3 linked regions of the Danio rerio genome follow. The protein of the gene in region 2 purifies or fractionates together with the protein of the main gene of each other region. This does not show direct contact. Links are inferred from orthologs where the notes say so. Each region holds a gene or a part of one and is shown on either strand. Other genes may lie near its edges.

Region 1 (4,730 bases), on a different chromosome or scaffold from region 2:
TAAACAAATTAAAACTCCTAATCAACAGATAATGCAGATCAAAAGTGTTAAACCTCACAAAAAAGCCTCCACACACTCACACACACACACACACACACACACACACACAGAGATACATACAAACACTGTTCTAGTAGAGACATGCTGTTTAAATGTCCACTGCTCTTCTCATCCTCCAAACAGTGAGCAGTTTATCATTAGCAATAGGTGATGGTGATTATCTCCTACTAGAGTAGAGCAGAGAAAGAAAAGAAATACAGAACAGAAACAATTGCGTCCTGGAACGAAACGACCTCTTTAAATGAAGTTTAAAGTGAGCAGTGTCATTTCCAAAACTTTGCATTTTACAAATTGCTGATCACTTGGTCAGAAGGAATGCTCATAACCTAACCAGCATTATTGGATTTGTGACATGAGACACCAAACACTGTTTAAATGGTCAGTAGCAGCCACTGCTGTATCATTAGTTTGCACGACTAAATCATTTTATACCACTGAAAGAAAAAACACCTGAAATGGTAGTATCCTTGTCATTAGAAGAGGTCCAGAGGTTCCTTACATTTGGTATCAGAGATGCCGAACTGACCAAGAATAAATAACAATGACTTCAATGCGCAAATTTAGATATCCACATTAATTGGTATTAAACTTCAGTGTAAATCCAAAATGTAAATGTAAAAGCTGCGCCAAACAATACCCTTCTCTGCAATAGAAAACTGTCTTTTGAGTTCAGAGTTGTAGCTTTGTTTCTCTATTCTTGAAAACTGTAATCAAGAGCTGTTTTCATCCAAAACTGCAAATTAACTTTTTGCGCAAAACTGGATTGTCGCATAAAAGACGTCCAAATAAAGCAGCGTTTCCATCCAACAAGTCAAAGCGAACAAATTACACACTTCCTGATTAACTGCTGCCAAATATCAACAGTAAAAACTAAATTTGCTGCAGTTGGAGAAGCTGCATCAATCTTTTCTTGATCTAATGACTTTCGCCTAAGAAGACAATTCTCACATGCAGTGAACGCGGGGTGGCGTTTTAAGGTGTCAGACGCGGAGCACAGACACTCTTGATTCTGGAGATCATTAATAATATAATAACACTGATAATTAAACGGTAAGACATTTTAGAATGACCAAAACTAAATTTCAAATGTTTTACAGTGTGCTCAGCCTGCTGGTTTTTATCACATGATAATCACATGATTTAGATTTTTATCACATGTTCTCTTATAACAAAATCACATGACCTTTTTAAATTGTGCATACTGTAATTTGTGTAGTAAAAGCGTTTCCTCTGTAGTTTATGCATATCTTGCATAATGTTTATCCTTCTCAGTTATGCGCATAATTTTTTTATGCACATTTTCAAAATTCATGCGCATCATGACGTTTCCATCAACCGTTTTTTACTGTTATTATATCAACCGTTATTTTGCATATGCGCATAAAAATAGGTGGATGGAAACATAGCTAATGACTTCATACATTGTACCCCTAATACATGTTAATTCTTCTCTCCAATGCAGTTTGACGAGAGTGTGAGGATTTGGGATGTTAAAACGGGGAAATGTCTGAAGACACTTCCAGCACACTCAGACCCTGTCTCTGCGGTTAGTGTTTTTTTTTTTTTTTACTTCATCTGGATGATTCAATTCACAATTGTGTACAACTGACATCAATTTAAGTGATTTCTTTGAATTATAATTGTGTATTTGTTTTTTTTTTGTTTGTTTGTTTTTTTAGGTTCATTTCAATAGAGATGGCTCATTGATTGTGTCCAGCAGTTATGATGGACTTTGGTGAGTGAACTTTGACTATGAAAAAAAATCAAGAGTGAAAAAATATTTCAGAAATAAAAAGCTAACAATCATACCCACTTTCTGACTTAAACAGTCGTATCTGGGACACAGCATCAGGCCAGTGCCTTAAAACACTTATTGGTAAGTTGATCAGCATTTAAAATGACTACAAACAAGGTTAGATTTGTTGTGTAAATGGCAATCATTTGTGTTTATCTGTTCTTATCTGATATGCATAAATAACTTTAGGCTAATAAGAAACTAGTATAACACAGTTAATTTTAAGGTACGCTAAGTAACAAGAAAGACATTAAAAGAGGCATAAACAATCATTAAAATGTATACATTTCCAATTTTTCATCAGATGACGACAACCCACCAGTGTCATTTGTGAAGTTCTCCCCCAATGGCAAGTACATCCTGGCTGCCACTCTGGACAAGTAAGTCAAGGACATTTTGATATTTTCAACATTTAATTGTATTATTTAAAAAGAAGAAAACTTTAAAGTAAATTCTATTAATCCACATGCATTCCCTTCATATTTTAGTACTTTGAAGCTTTGGGACTACAGCAAAGGAAAGGTAAGTGTTTCTCAGTTTGTTTAGTGCATTGTTTTAATAATAAAAAAGTTCTCAATCGGTGTATAACAATAATATTTTCTTTTTTTTTAGTGTCTGAAAACTTACACCGGTCATAAAAACGAGAAGTACTGCATATTTGCTAATTTCTCTGTCACTGGTGGAAAGGTTTGTTGGCTTTACACTTTTCTAATCCATTGCCTCTCTTGACATGCTAAAACTTTTCGACATGAGCATGTGAACTGAAATGGTGATAAAGGCTTGCTCTTTATTTTTAGTGGATTGTCTCCGGCTCAGAAGATAACATGGTCTATATCTGGAACCTTCAGACCAAGGAGATTGTACAGAAACTACAGGGCCACACAGGTAAGAGCAAGTTCAGTGGATGTTAGCAAAGCATTTTTACCTAGAGCTTAATGCACTTCCTGCTAATAGTTCCAGGTAAGCAGTGCTACGTTACAAATTTGTTGTGTTTGAGTGATATTTTTATTGATGTGCAATAATGTCAAAAAAGGTTTGTTTAAATGATTCACGATTTTCATTTTAGATTTTTTTTTTTTGTAGTTTTTAATTGACCAATGTTAAATGTAACTACAACATAATTCAATTTAATCCAAATGCAGCACATATGTAGAGATCGAAATGGTTTAAACGTGTATTGCCGGATTGCTATAATGCTGTGCTCACACTGTGTTCACCATGCTGTGTGCGATTTGGGGAAAATATCTAATTGTGAAGTAGTAGTCAAGTTCTGGGCGGGGGAAATTAGATAATACATATATATTTCATATCGCAGCTTCTTGCGACTTAGCTAATTGTAACGTTTAAAATCGCGATTCAATTTAGATTAATCGCACAACCCTAGTTCACACCAGATGCGGCATGAGCGAATAAATGGTGCGTGAATATTTGAGTTTACTTGCGTCATTCATGTGTCAAATTCACTAGATAACATTCCATTTAAAATTACACTTTTCCAGCAGTTCCTTGCATCCAGTATTTGTCACAGGAGGCATGCATGAAATGTTCCTGAATGAAAGTAAAATTGCCAAACTGCAGTTAAAGTTGAAAATTATTAATTTGGCTAATAATTTGATTACTGATGTCCATGTAAACATAGTCACTGTCTTTCTCCCCTGCGTCTTTTTTTGTTTTGCCTCTGTGAAAATCAGCGCTTGCTATCCTGTCGCAAAATGCGGCAAAAATTCTATATGACGGTAATAGTTTGATTGTGGTGTTTACATTCGGAGAGCAGCATTTACATCGGATCTTTCAGTCTGTAATATTCTATTGATATTAACTAACTGTAAACTTAGTAACTAAATCATTTTGACTAAGGTATGTCTCTAAAAACTGAAAGAGTACAAATCTGTAGAGACAAGACAATCAACACCAACTGGAGCCGCATCTTTTTTAAAAGGATACAAGTGGCAAATCCAGATTTCCCCATTTCCTTATGCGAAAAGCTTTCAGGTAAAAAATGTTCCTTACAAATATATTTCTGTCGCATGAATTGTAAACCACAAGTGAGTCCAGCTGCACTCTCATAGCACGAAATTGAAACAAAACCTTTGTTGCAGCACATTTCTAAAAAAAAGCACTGACAACCCATGTCTCCAAACAATTCTTGTTTTTCCATTTTTTTGGCAACACAACGTGGTGTCTCTCTGCAGTCTGAACATTCTATTAGGTAAAAACAGTCTTCGAAGCTATCGTGCATATTAATTAAGTTGCACCTCATTCACAATAGAGCGCGCTAATTGGTTTGAACCAAGTCTTTCTCATGAATTAATGCTGCACATTCGGACTCGGATGTATTTGCCAGTACAGACATCCACTCTCCATGCTGGATTACACATAAGGATCTAATTGCCATGACGTAGCTTCAAAAATTAGTTTCAAATCTGAGAAAACAAATTTGCTTAAAATAAAGCAAAAACAACCATCACTTTTTTTTTGTGAAATATGTGTCTATAGTGTTTATTAGAACACATATATGACTGTCAACATAACAAAAAATGTGTTTTGGTGTTTCATGAACCTTTAACTTTAAGGTCCAATTCTACCCTTTAGCCCTTTCTATTACTCAAGTCTCTTTAGCTTGAAGGCATAGGGATAAGGGCAAGGGGTAGATGCCCCTTCGAATGGAAATTTTTTTTAGGACCAAACTCGAAACTAAGGGGAAGAAAATTTCCCAGAATACACCAGCCACAACGGCAGTATAGCTGCACCCGGAAGTAAAGAGATCCACAAATTAGTATTAGTAATTTATTGTCGTTATTTTTAACTTTTACAACAAACAAGCACAGGTTTTAATATATTCATAACTGTGTTTTTTTTCTCTCTCTTTTTTTTA
Region 2 (4,980 bases):
TTTTTGCCATTGCACATAGTGGCCCTCGCAGTTGAAAATAGTCAACTGAGTGGAAAAAGTGAGCTACGCCACTCGCATCTTTTTACATTGTCCAATCAAATGAAAGCAGAGGCGGGGTTTCCATTGAAGTGACAGCAGTGTTTGTGTTGTGAAGACGACTACTACAAACTCTTTAAAGATTGAGGAAAGACTTGTGGTCGCAAGTATATCCATCCGCTTGTTATGTCATACTGTATTTAGGTCCAAGCCCCTACTCATTTGAATTGAGAAAATATTTGTTTATGACGACTTTTTAATCATATTACATATTAAAATTAATTCCTATAAAATCATGTGCACATCAGTCTTTTGGCTTGATGCATGACATTCCAAAATGTTAACAATTTATAAAAAAAATGATCACTTTCTGGCCATCGGATATTAGGCATGGATGTATATATTGCGATCGTGATTTTCGAAAATATTACATCGCTTTATTATTACGATTTGTTGCATCTCTCCATACAGTTTGATATAGCACTTGGACTTAAAAGCCGCTTTGCGTGATGTCACACTTGAAAAGTGGATATCAGCAACGCACAATACACAGTTGGTACAGTGGTTGCCTAGCGACATAAAAAGGCAGTGTTGTGCGCCTTCTGTTTTTAGAACGGAAAAGCGGGTTCGGTGTGATTGACTTCTTGTGGGTTAGTTTGACAAGGGTGTTTTAGGAATCATCAATCATTCAAACCTTATTTGTATATCAGCTTATTACAACCAGGAGGCTGCTCAAAGTGCTTCACAGTATTAAAAATAAAATTAAACATCAAAAGACATGAAATGGTAAGAGCACAAGTGTCAATAAAACAGCATTTTGGGTCCCACTTTATATTAAATGGCCTTAATTAATATGTAGTTACATAGGATTTAATAGTTTGTTACAATGTACTTATTGTGTAAATACATGTATTTACTGTGTACTTATGCTTGATTAAATACATGTAATTACTTCTGTAGTTAACTTCTGTAATTACATTTGTAAATACACTGTTGACCATCCCTTACACCTTAACCCAACCCTTAAACCTACCCATGCCACCAAACCTGTCCATAACCCAACCTCTATTCCAACTCTAAAGCACCACAAGGGTTCTCAAATACATTATTAACACAGTAAGTACATTGTATTTATGTTTTAGATGTAAGTACATAATAGTTAAGGACACTTAATATAAAGTGGGACCGCATTTTGTACTAACGAATATCAAAAACAAGTCTAAATAAACAGGTTTTAAATTTAGCTCTAAACCATGCCACATCTATGACGATGCGAAGTTCTAAAGGGAAGGGTATTCCACAGTTTTGGACCTGCCACTGCAAATGAACGATAACCCAATGTTTATACCTGTTCTGGGGACCTCCAGCAACAATTAACCTGCTGATCCAGGGCCATTTTCAAAATAAAAGCCACTCTCCAACACTGTTTTACAGCATCGAAGAGCCAGGATACAATTTCTAACTGACTGATATTTAAAAAAGTCATATACACAGAGGATGAATTGGGGGTGTGAATATGATGTGGTAATTTTCACTTTTGGCTAAACTATTCCTTTAAGACGTGTACTGTTTCATGTTGCGTGTGTTTGTATATTGTTACATCACTGCTTTCTATAATAGCCTGTCAAGAAAAAGAAGATCAAGAGGGAGATCAAGATCCTGGAGAACCTGCGAGGGGGTACCAACATCATTCAGCTAATGGACACAGTTAAGGACCCTGTGGTACGTCCTCCATCTCACTCCTCTTCCATTGGCCAATCAGAGCAGACAGTTTGTCCCAGGAGGAGTTAGATTTTTTCTGTCTCTGAAGATTGTGGGTGGACAGCATTTGAGACAAATTGCCTTTTTCTAGCTTACAGGCCCAGATTTGCTTTTAGGTTGGAAATGGTTGTGTAAAAACTTTTACTCACTATCCTTTAGCTAAGTGAACCACAGCTGAATGAACCACCCCAGCTGAATGAACCAACAATTACTCTGGCATATGCTTTTTTTTGTAGCGAGTGCTCCTCCAGCCGCATATAAAATTGAGTGAAATTATATAATCTAGATGGAAATAAGGCGGCACGGTTAGCACTGTCATCCCACAGCAGGGAGGTTGCTGGTTCGAGCCCCAGCTGGGCCAGTTGGAATTTCTGTGTGGAGTTTGCATGTTTTCCCTGGGTTGGTGTGGGTTTGCCCCACAGTCCAAAGACATGCGGTATAGATGAACTGAATAAACTAAATTAGCCATTTGGGCATCCACTGCGTAAAACTTATGCTGGAACAGTCGATGGTTCATTCTGTTGTGGAAATTGAGACAAAGCCGAAGGAAAAGTAATTAATGAACTGTTCATAACAAACTATCCATAATGATTTTTAAAGCGTTTTTGGACCCAATGAGATCTAGTGAAAATGAGCGAGAATCATAGCAAAGATTATTGAAAAATGAGATGCAGCCAGTCGTGATGCTTTTGTACTCAATGTGCTGCTGTTTTATTCCTGATTGCGATCACAATGAATGCTTGATGGTGTCAGTTAATGCTTTCCATTGTTGATTTGATGGACTTCCCTTTTTCTGATTGTTCATCTCTTTCTCTCTCTCTATCTGTTGGTTTCCTTTGAATCATTCTACAGTCTCGAACGCCTGCGCTTGTCTTTGAATGCATCAATAACACAGATTTTAAGGTATTTTTTTATCTATCTGTCTGTCTGTCTGTCTGTCTGTCTGTCTGTCTGTCTATCTATCTATCTATCTATCCATCTATCCATCCATCTATCCGTCTATCTATCTATCTATCTATCTATCTATCTGTCTGTCTGTCTGTCTGTCTGTCTGTCTGTCTGTCTGTCTGTCTGTCTGTCTGTCTGTCTGTCTGTCTGTCTGTCTGTCTGTCTATCATCGTGTGTTTGTCTCTGTCTGTGTCTATCTGTCTATCTATCATTGTCTGTCTGTCTGTCTCTGTTTATCTATCTATATATCTGTCTATCTATCATTGTATGTCTGTCTGTCTGTCTGTCTGTCTGTCTGTCTGTCTGTCTATCTATCTATCTATCTATCTATCTATCTATCTATCATCTATCTATCTATCATCTATCTATCTGTCTGTCTATCTGTCTGTCTGTCTGTCTCTGTTTATCTATCTATCTGTCTATCTATAATTGTCTGTCTGTCTGTCTGTCTGTCTGTCTGTCTATCTATCTATCTATCATCGTCTGTCTGTCTGTCTGTCTATCTATCTATCTATCTATCTGTCTGTCTGTCTGTCTGTCTGTCTGTCTGTCTATCATCGTCTGTCTGTCTCTGTCTGTCTATCTATCTATCTATCTATCTATCTTGCTATCTATCTATCTGTCTGTCTATCTGTCTGTCTGTCTGTCTGTCTCTGTTTATCTATCTATCTGTCTATCTATAATTGTCTGTCTGTCTGTCTGTCTGTCTGTCTATCTATCTATCTATCTATCTATCTATCTATCTATCATCGTCTGTCTGTCTATCTATCTGTCTGTCTGTCTGTCTGTCTGTCTGTCTGTCTATCATCGTCTGTCTGTCTCTGTCTGTCTATCTATCTATCTATCTATCTATCTATCTATCTATCTATCTATCTATCTATCTATCTGTCTGTCTGTCTGTCTGTCTGTCTGTCTGTCTGTCTGTCTGTCTGTCTGTCTGTCTGTCTATCATCTATCTATCTGTCTGTCTGTCTGTCTGTCTATCCATCTATCTATCTATCTATGTTGAATTATTTTGAAATGGATGTTAATACCAACCAATAAGAATCCAAGAAACTTGTTTAATTATTATTTAGCAGCTCATTTAAATTGAATCCTTTGTTACGTACCTAATTTCTTTCCTTTTCTTTCTGTTTAGGAGCTGTATCAGAAATTAACGGATTATGATATACGTTTTTACATGTATGAACTACTAAAGGTAAGGCCACAGTCTTGTGCTTCAGTGGCGTGATTTTTCAAGGCTTTCACTTTGTTGTTAATGTTTGTTTATTCTTTGACTGACAGGCTCTGGACTACTGCCACAGTATGGGGATCATGCACCGCGATGTCAAACCCCACAATGTTATGATCGATCACCAGTTAAGAAAGGTAATGTTGTGGTTTTGGATCTTTTTCAACTCTGAACTGGATTTAGGACATTAGAGTACATTTCAGAGAGATTTTGAGTAAAAAAAGATTCCTTCAATGTTAATTCTGGATTTATTGCGCTTACTCACCAGCAGAGGGCATGAGAGTACCGGTTTCTGTTTGGAAGTGAGGTGGTGTTTCAGATGTCAATTTGCATTGTCATGTTTGTGTGTGTGTGTGTGTGTGTTTGATGCAGCTGAGGTTGATAGACTGGGGTCTTGCTGAGTTTTATCACCCTGCGCAAGAGTACAATGTCAGAGTGGCTTCACGCTATTTCAAGGGTCCAGAACTGTTGGTGGACTACCAGGTAATATGTTCTTTGTAAATTAAGCACATTAATCGTGTTGGATTGTTTTGCACATTTTAGATTTTAACACAAACCTGGATTGAAAACACTTTCTGCACACTTTACCACTTTACTCAAATTGAGATTAAATGCTTTGTTACATGCACACTTCATCTGAATCCGTATTAAACACAGTAATAAAGAAAGTAACTTTTACATTCTGCCCAAATCCAGATTAGAAATATCAAGTTACTTTTATGCACTTTCCAAATCTGGATTAAGCACAAAGTCACTTTCACATTTTGTCCCGATTCAGATTAAAAACAATGAGTTACACTTTATTCAAATCTGGATTAAACACTTTTACACTTTGTCCAAAAATGGATTGGGAAGAAACCAAGTTACTTTTACACCATATCCAAATCTGGATTAAACACAAATTTATATTCATAATATATTGAGTTAGACTTTATTCAAATCAGAATAACATTTTCTTATAAATTTAAAGTATTTTGAAAATATTGAGTTACATTTACTCTACA
Region 3 (4,283 bases), on a different chromosome or scaffold from region 2:
GTATTAACACAGGCTGATGGAAACAAAGCCAGTGGTGGTTGTTTCTTGTGTGGTCTGCTGCTTTGAGAGATGACACATTGCTAAAACCATTGCAATTGTTTGCAAGTGTTTTGTGCAATTATGCAATTATTCCGATTTCTTTTTCTTTTGTCACTCAGAGATCTGCAGGTGTTCGAGGAGTTGTTCAGTTTTGCCTGCCCCAAGTTCCTGTCGCCGGTAGTTCCAAACTATGAAAACGTTCATCCAAATTACCACAAAGAGCCATTCCAGCAGCAGCTAAAGGTGTTTGCAGAGGAGGTCCAGCAGCAGGCGCAGCTCTCCACCATCCGCAGGTACAGCAGTTCTCTGACGTCTTCTGAGGAACAATCTAATCAGTGTTTTTCTCCCAGCAAGGCATTATCAGATATTCATAAGGACACTGTGGATATTGTAATACTTGAATGTTAAATTTAGGTTTTTTCTTATGTTATTGAATTATATTTTCCTATTTTTGGTTGTGTGGTAAAAAATGTAATCTATGTTTAGGGATTTTTTTAAATTTAACAAAGTAATAATTTTGAGTATTTTTGCACTATTTTTTGGCCAGTTATGGATGAATGAATGACATTCTCTTCTGTAATTTATGCTACTTTTTTCTTTCCGCTACTATTTTTGTTGGCAAAACAATTGATTTTTAGTGATAGATATTAAGGCTGCACAATATATCTCAAAATTATCGTTATTGCTCGTTATGACAAAATCATTGTGGTATTTGAGTATATGTATTGCAGACATGTGTAATAAATCATATTTTTTTTATTATGCATTGTTTGTTTATCTAAATTTTACTAATCAATAAAGATGGGGCCTTGCTTTCTTTATCCCCGCCTCAGTAGTTGCTGTTCTGCTATTGGCTGGAGTGACCCAAAGCCAAACCCAGAGCTGAAAATAAACACTTGTAAAGACAACAGCCAATCAGAGTCAGGATATCTGCCGAGGTTTTCACTCATTCATAGTGATTTAAAGCCTAAATGTTTCCACCTTGACAGTTTTTTTTTAGTCTGAATCAGAAGTTATTTGTTTTCTAGCTGGTTATTTTAATATGAAATAAAGTTTTTTAAGAACATAGCTAATAAAAATTGCATTTTCTAGAGAAATATTATATAATATTGCTATCACAATAGTCTAGTTTTATCAGTAATGTGGGGCCCTAATAGAGGAGTTGTTTTATTATTGTTGACTATTTATTACACATCCCACTTCCTACATGCAAAACTCTTGTCAAACTTTTAAAAGTTTAAATATGTCATTCTAGAGCATTTTGAATTTACATAGAAACAAGCATTTCCCCAGCAGTGTTTATTAGCACATCTCTGAATTGTTTCTCCATCTGTCCATCAGTTTCCTCAAGCTCTACACCACCATGCCTGTGGCCAAACTGGCCGGATTCCTGGACATGTCAGAGCAGGAGTTTCGCATTCAGCTGCTGGTCTTCAAGCACAAGATGAAGAACCTGGTGTGGACCAGCGGCATCTCTGCTCTGGACGGAGAGTTTCAGTCCGCATCTGAGGTCGACTTCTACATCGACAAGGTCTGTGGACTCACAGTTTTATTTGAGAAACTCAATGCTATTAGCTTGCCAATCTTGTACAAAAAGTACCACATTCAGTATAACTTCACAACAAACTTTCATAACATTAGTGATTAGTAACAACGCACTGGTTTTTACAAGCATTTATTAATTTGATTTAAAGGGTACATATTATGCCCCTTTTTACAGATGTAAAATAAACGTTGATGTCCCTAGAGTGTGTATGTGAAGTTTCAGCTCAAACTAGCAAACAAATAATGTTTTATATCCATTTGAAACTGCCACTTTAGACTTTAATCCTAATTGTACTGTTTTGGTGACTGTTGCTTTAAATTCATATAATATTGTGCTATTTTAAAAAAAGCACAGAGCTACTAATGCTTGCATGTCAGCATAGCGGCAGATTCAAAAACGAGACTAACGTCCTATGCTAATGAGGGAGAGATCATCACTAATGTTTGGGGCTTTTCCTCTCTAATGACATGTACAAAGGGAGAATGTCAAAGTGTTTCTGCAGACTGTTTTTATCAAGTGTCATTATAAGAAATACAATTATCAAGAAAAATGTAAAAGAACATTGACTGTATTTATACACTACTGTTTTGAAACCCTTTATAAAAGTGATTTTTGCATAAAAGGTCCCCTTTAATGGTAAAATTTAATACTGCATTAATAAAATCCAGAGTTGTGTTAATGCACGACTAAACATGAACATTATTAACACGAACATGGATTAATTAATGCTGTAAAAATATTTATTTCTAGCTCTGTTCACATTGTTGTATTTTTTACTTTATCAATGGAAAAAATCTCTTGTATGCTGCTTTTTATAAAAATAAATAAATCAAGATAGATGCATATATAACATTTATTAAGTGTAATGCATAATTTCTTACTTTCAAATGTTACGATTTTTTTTGAGTTTCATGTTGCTGTATCTAATGACCTGTAAATATCAAACTGCTGACACAGAAATATTATCAAATGTTATTATTTTGGACGGAAGTGTGTGTTTTGTTTCTGCTTGTGCTCTGATTTTCTTCACTGATGAGATGTGAGTTCAGTCAGTAAGAACATGATTTGTTTTCCTCAGGATATGATCCATATTGCCGACACCAAGGTTGCTCGTCGCTATGGAGATTTCTTTATCCGACAGATCCACAAGTTTGAGGAGGTACATCTTCTTGAATTTTTAATAGTTATGATTTGTCATATACTTTAATACAGCATATTGTTCTATTACTGTTTAACTATAAATTTTATAAAAATAATGTAAAATAATGCTTGGACGTTTATATCGTCTTGTTTCTTCAGCTGAACCGAACGCTGAAGAAGATGCCTCTGAACACAGGCGCCTCTATTTCCAGCAGCTCCACGTCACGAGCCACATAACGAAGGTGACTCCTGAACAACTGAGATCCACCAATTACAGGCCAGCCCAGACTTCTCAACCAATTACAAGGCAGCACTCATAGTCTTGAACCAGTCGAAACGATATTATATTGCTTGCTCTTCTTTGTCAAAATTGAGCAAAGCTTTCTCTCAAGCTGTTTTCTAAGTCAATAAAGTGAGATGTGGCTGAAGTGTAATGTGGAGTAGTTTCTCTTTGACTGCAATTAAATCTAGTAATCCTGAAAAAGTTTGGAAAAGAATCGTGCTCAGATTTCATAAACGAGAGTAAGCATCTGTTAACAAACTTTAGGCCTGTCAGTGGCTTGAGAGAGTTCAGTCCAGACATGTTTTTACTTCCCATGAAACTGCTGTATATGCATTATTCAAGATGCATTTCATTGCTTTTAACAGTTTTACAATATTGTACAAGTATCAATTATTTATGCCAACAGGACTTATCGTTAGCCCTTTTAACTCATGCAGACCTTTCCAGAAAATTACCGGCAATTCGATTGAACAGGCCCTTTTTGAAAATACTGATAAATTCGTCCAAAACAAGAATGGAAATTTAGTTGGTTTTGTCAAATTGATGAAAGGTTTTCCACTTAAATAAAAAAATAATCTAGATCAAGTAAAATGACTTTTGCATGCTAAAAAGTACTTAAAGCAAATATATATTTTCCCAATAACAAAATTGTGGCTGTTGAAATTGCTGAGTGGCTAGTGACTTTGAAAAATGATTAGCCATAGTGGCTGATTTTTTTTTTTTTTTTTTTTACTCTACAAATATTATTTTTATTATTTATGTGGCATCTTATTAGCATAACTGCCACAAGGTGGCAGAGTATCTTTATATATAATTTTTATTTCCATTAATTTAGAAAAATTTTGGGCAACGTATAACAAGATTAATAGTATATGGTATCCTTATGGTAGAAGGATTTTTTCACAGTGAATACATTAACATACATCAGTAATGTAATTATTTGCCTTAATCTAAATAAGGCAACAATATGATTAAGGTGTTTACATGAGTTGCTATTTGAATGTTCCTTTCATGATCCTGTTTTATGTTACAGCGCATAATTCGATTAACGTCATCACTGTGCTATCCACATTTCATGTCATGTTACGGTGTTACGTTTTTAATTAAAAAAAAGCTTTTTACTGCTTTTACTGTTTGGCACTTTTATTCAGGAACATTTCATTCATGTTCCCCCATGACAAACGAGATATTGGATGTGAGTATGAACTGCTGGAGGAGGATTGTTTTAATGGAATTTAATACCGCACGCTAGAGATCCGCTATAATCTGCACATC

Evidence for each region. Proteins that work in one complex are often made in the same cells at the same time.
Region 1: the proteins of csnk2a2b (region 2) and wdr5 purify together in Homo sapiens (affinity purification with mass spectrometry; 3 studies listed by BioGRID and IntAct, with this or other methods). This does not show direct contact. The link is inferred for Danio rerio from reciprocal best matches to the Homo sapiens genes CSNK2A2 and WDR5.
Region 3: the proteins of csnk2a2b (region 2) and eif3s6ip purify together in Homo sapiens (affinity purification with mass spectrometry; 3 studies listed by BioGRID and IntAct, with this or other methods). This does not show direct contact. The link is inferred for Danio rerio from reciprocal best matches to the Homo sapiens genes CSNK2A2 and EIF3L.

Annotation. Positions count from the first base shown.
Region 1 is NC_133196.1:19,690,793-19,695,522, forward strand, and holds part of wdr5 (WD repeat-containing protein 5), read left to right. Parts: intron 1-1,522; coding exon 1,523-1,606; intron 1,607-1,739; coding exon 1,740-1,795; intron 1,796-1,889; coding exon 1,890-1,936; intron 1,937-2,159; coding exon 2,160-2,235; intron 2,236-2,343; coding exon 2,344-2,377; intron 2,378-2,467; coding exon 2,468-2,542; intron 2,543-2,652; coding exon 2,653-2,740; intron 2,741-4,730.
Region 2 is NC_133200.1:14,579,474-14,584,453, reverse strand, and holds part of csnk2a2b (casein kinase II subunit alpha'), read left to right. Parts: intron 1-1,656; coding exon 1,657-1,758; intron 1,759-2,649; coding exon 2,650-2,700; intron 2,701-3,883; coding exon 3,884-3,943; intron 3,944-4,029; coding exon 4,030-4,113; intron 4,114-4,348; coding exon 4,349-4,459; intron 4,460-4,980.
Region 3 is NC_133188.1:46,818,509-46,822,791, reverse strand, and holds the end of eif3s6ip (eukaryotic translation initiation factor 3 subunit L), read left to right. Parts: intron 1-158; coding exon 159-332; intron 333-1,380; coding exon 1,381-1,570; intron 1,571-2,663; coding exon 2,664-2,744; intron 2,745-2,884; coding exon 2,885-2,962; 3' UTR 2,963-3,153; downstream 3,154-4,283. UniProt on the Homo sapiens protein: Component of the eukaryotic translation initiation factor 3 (eIF-3) complex, which is required for several steps in the initiation of protein synthesis.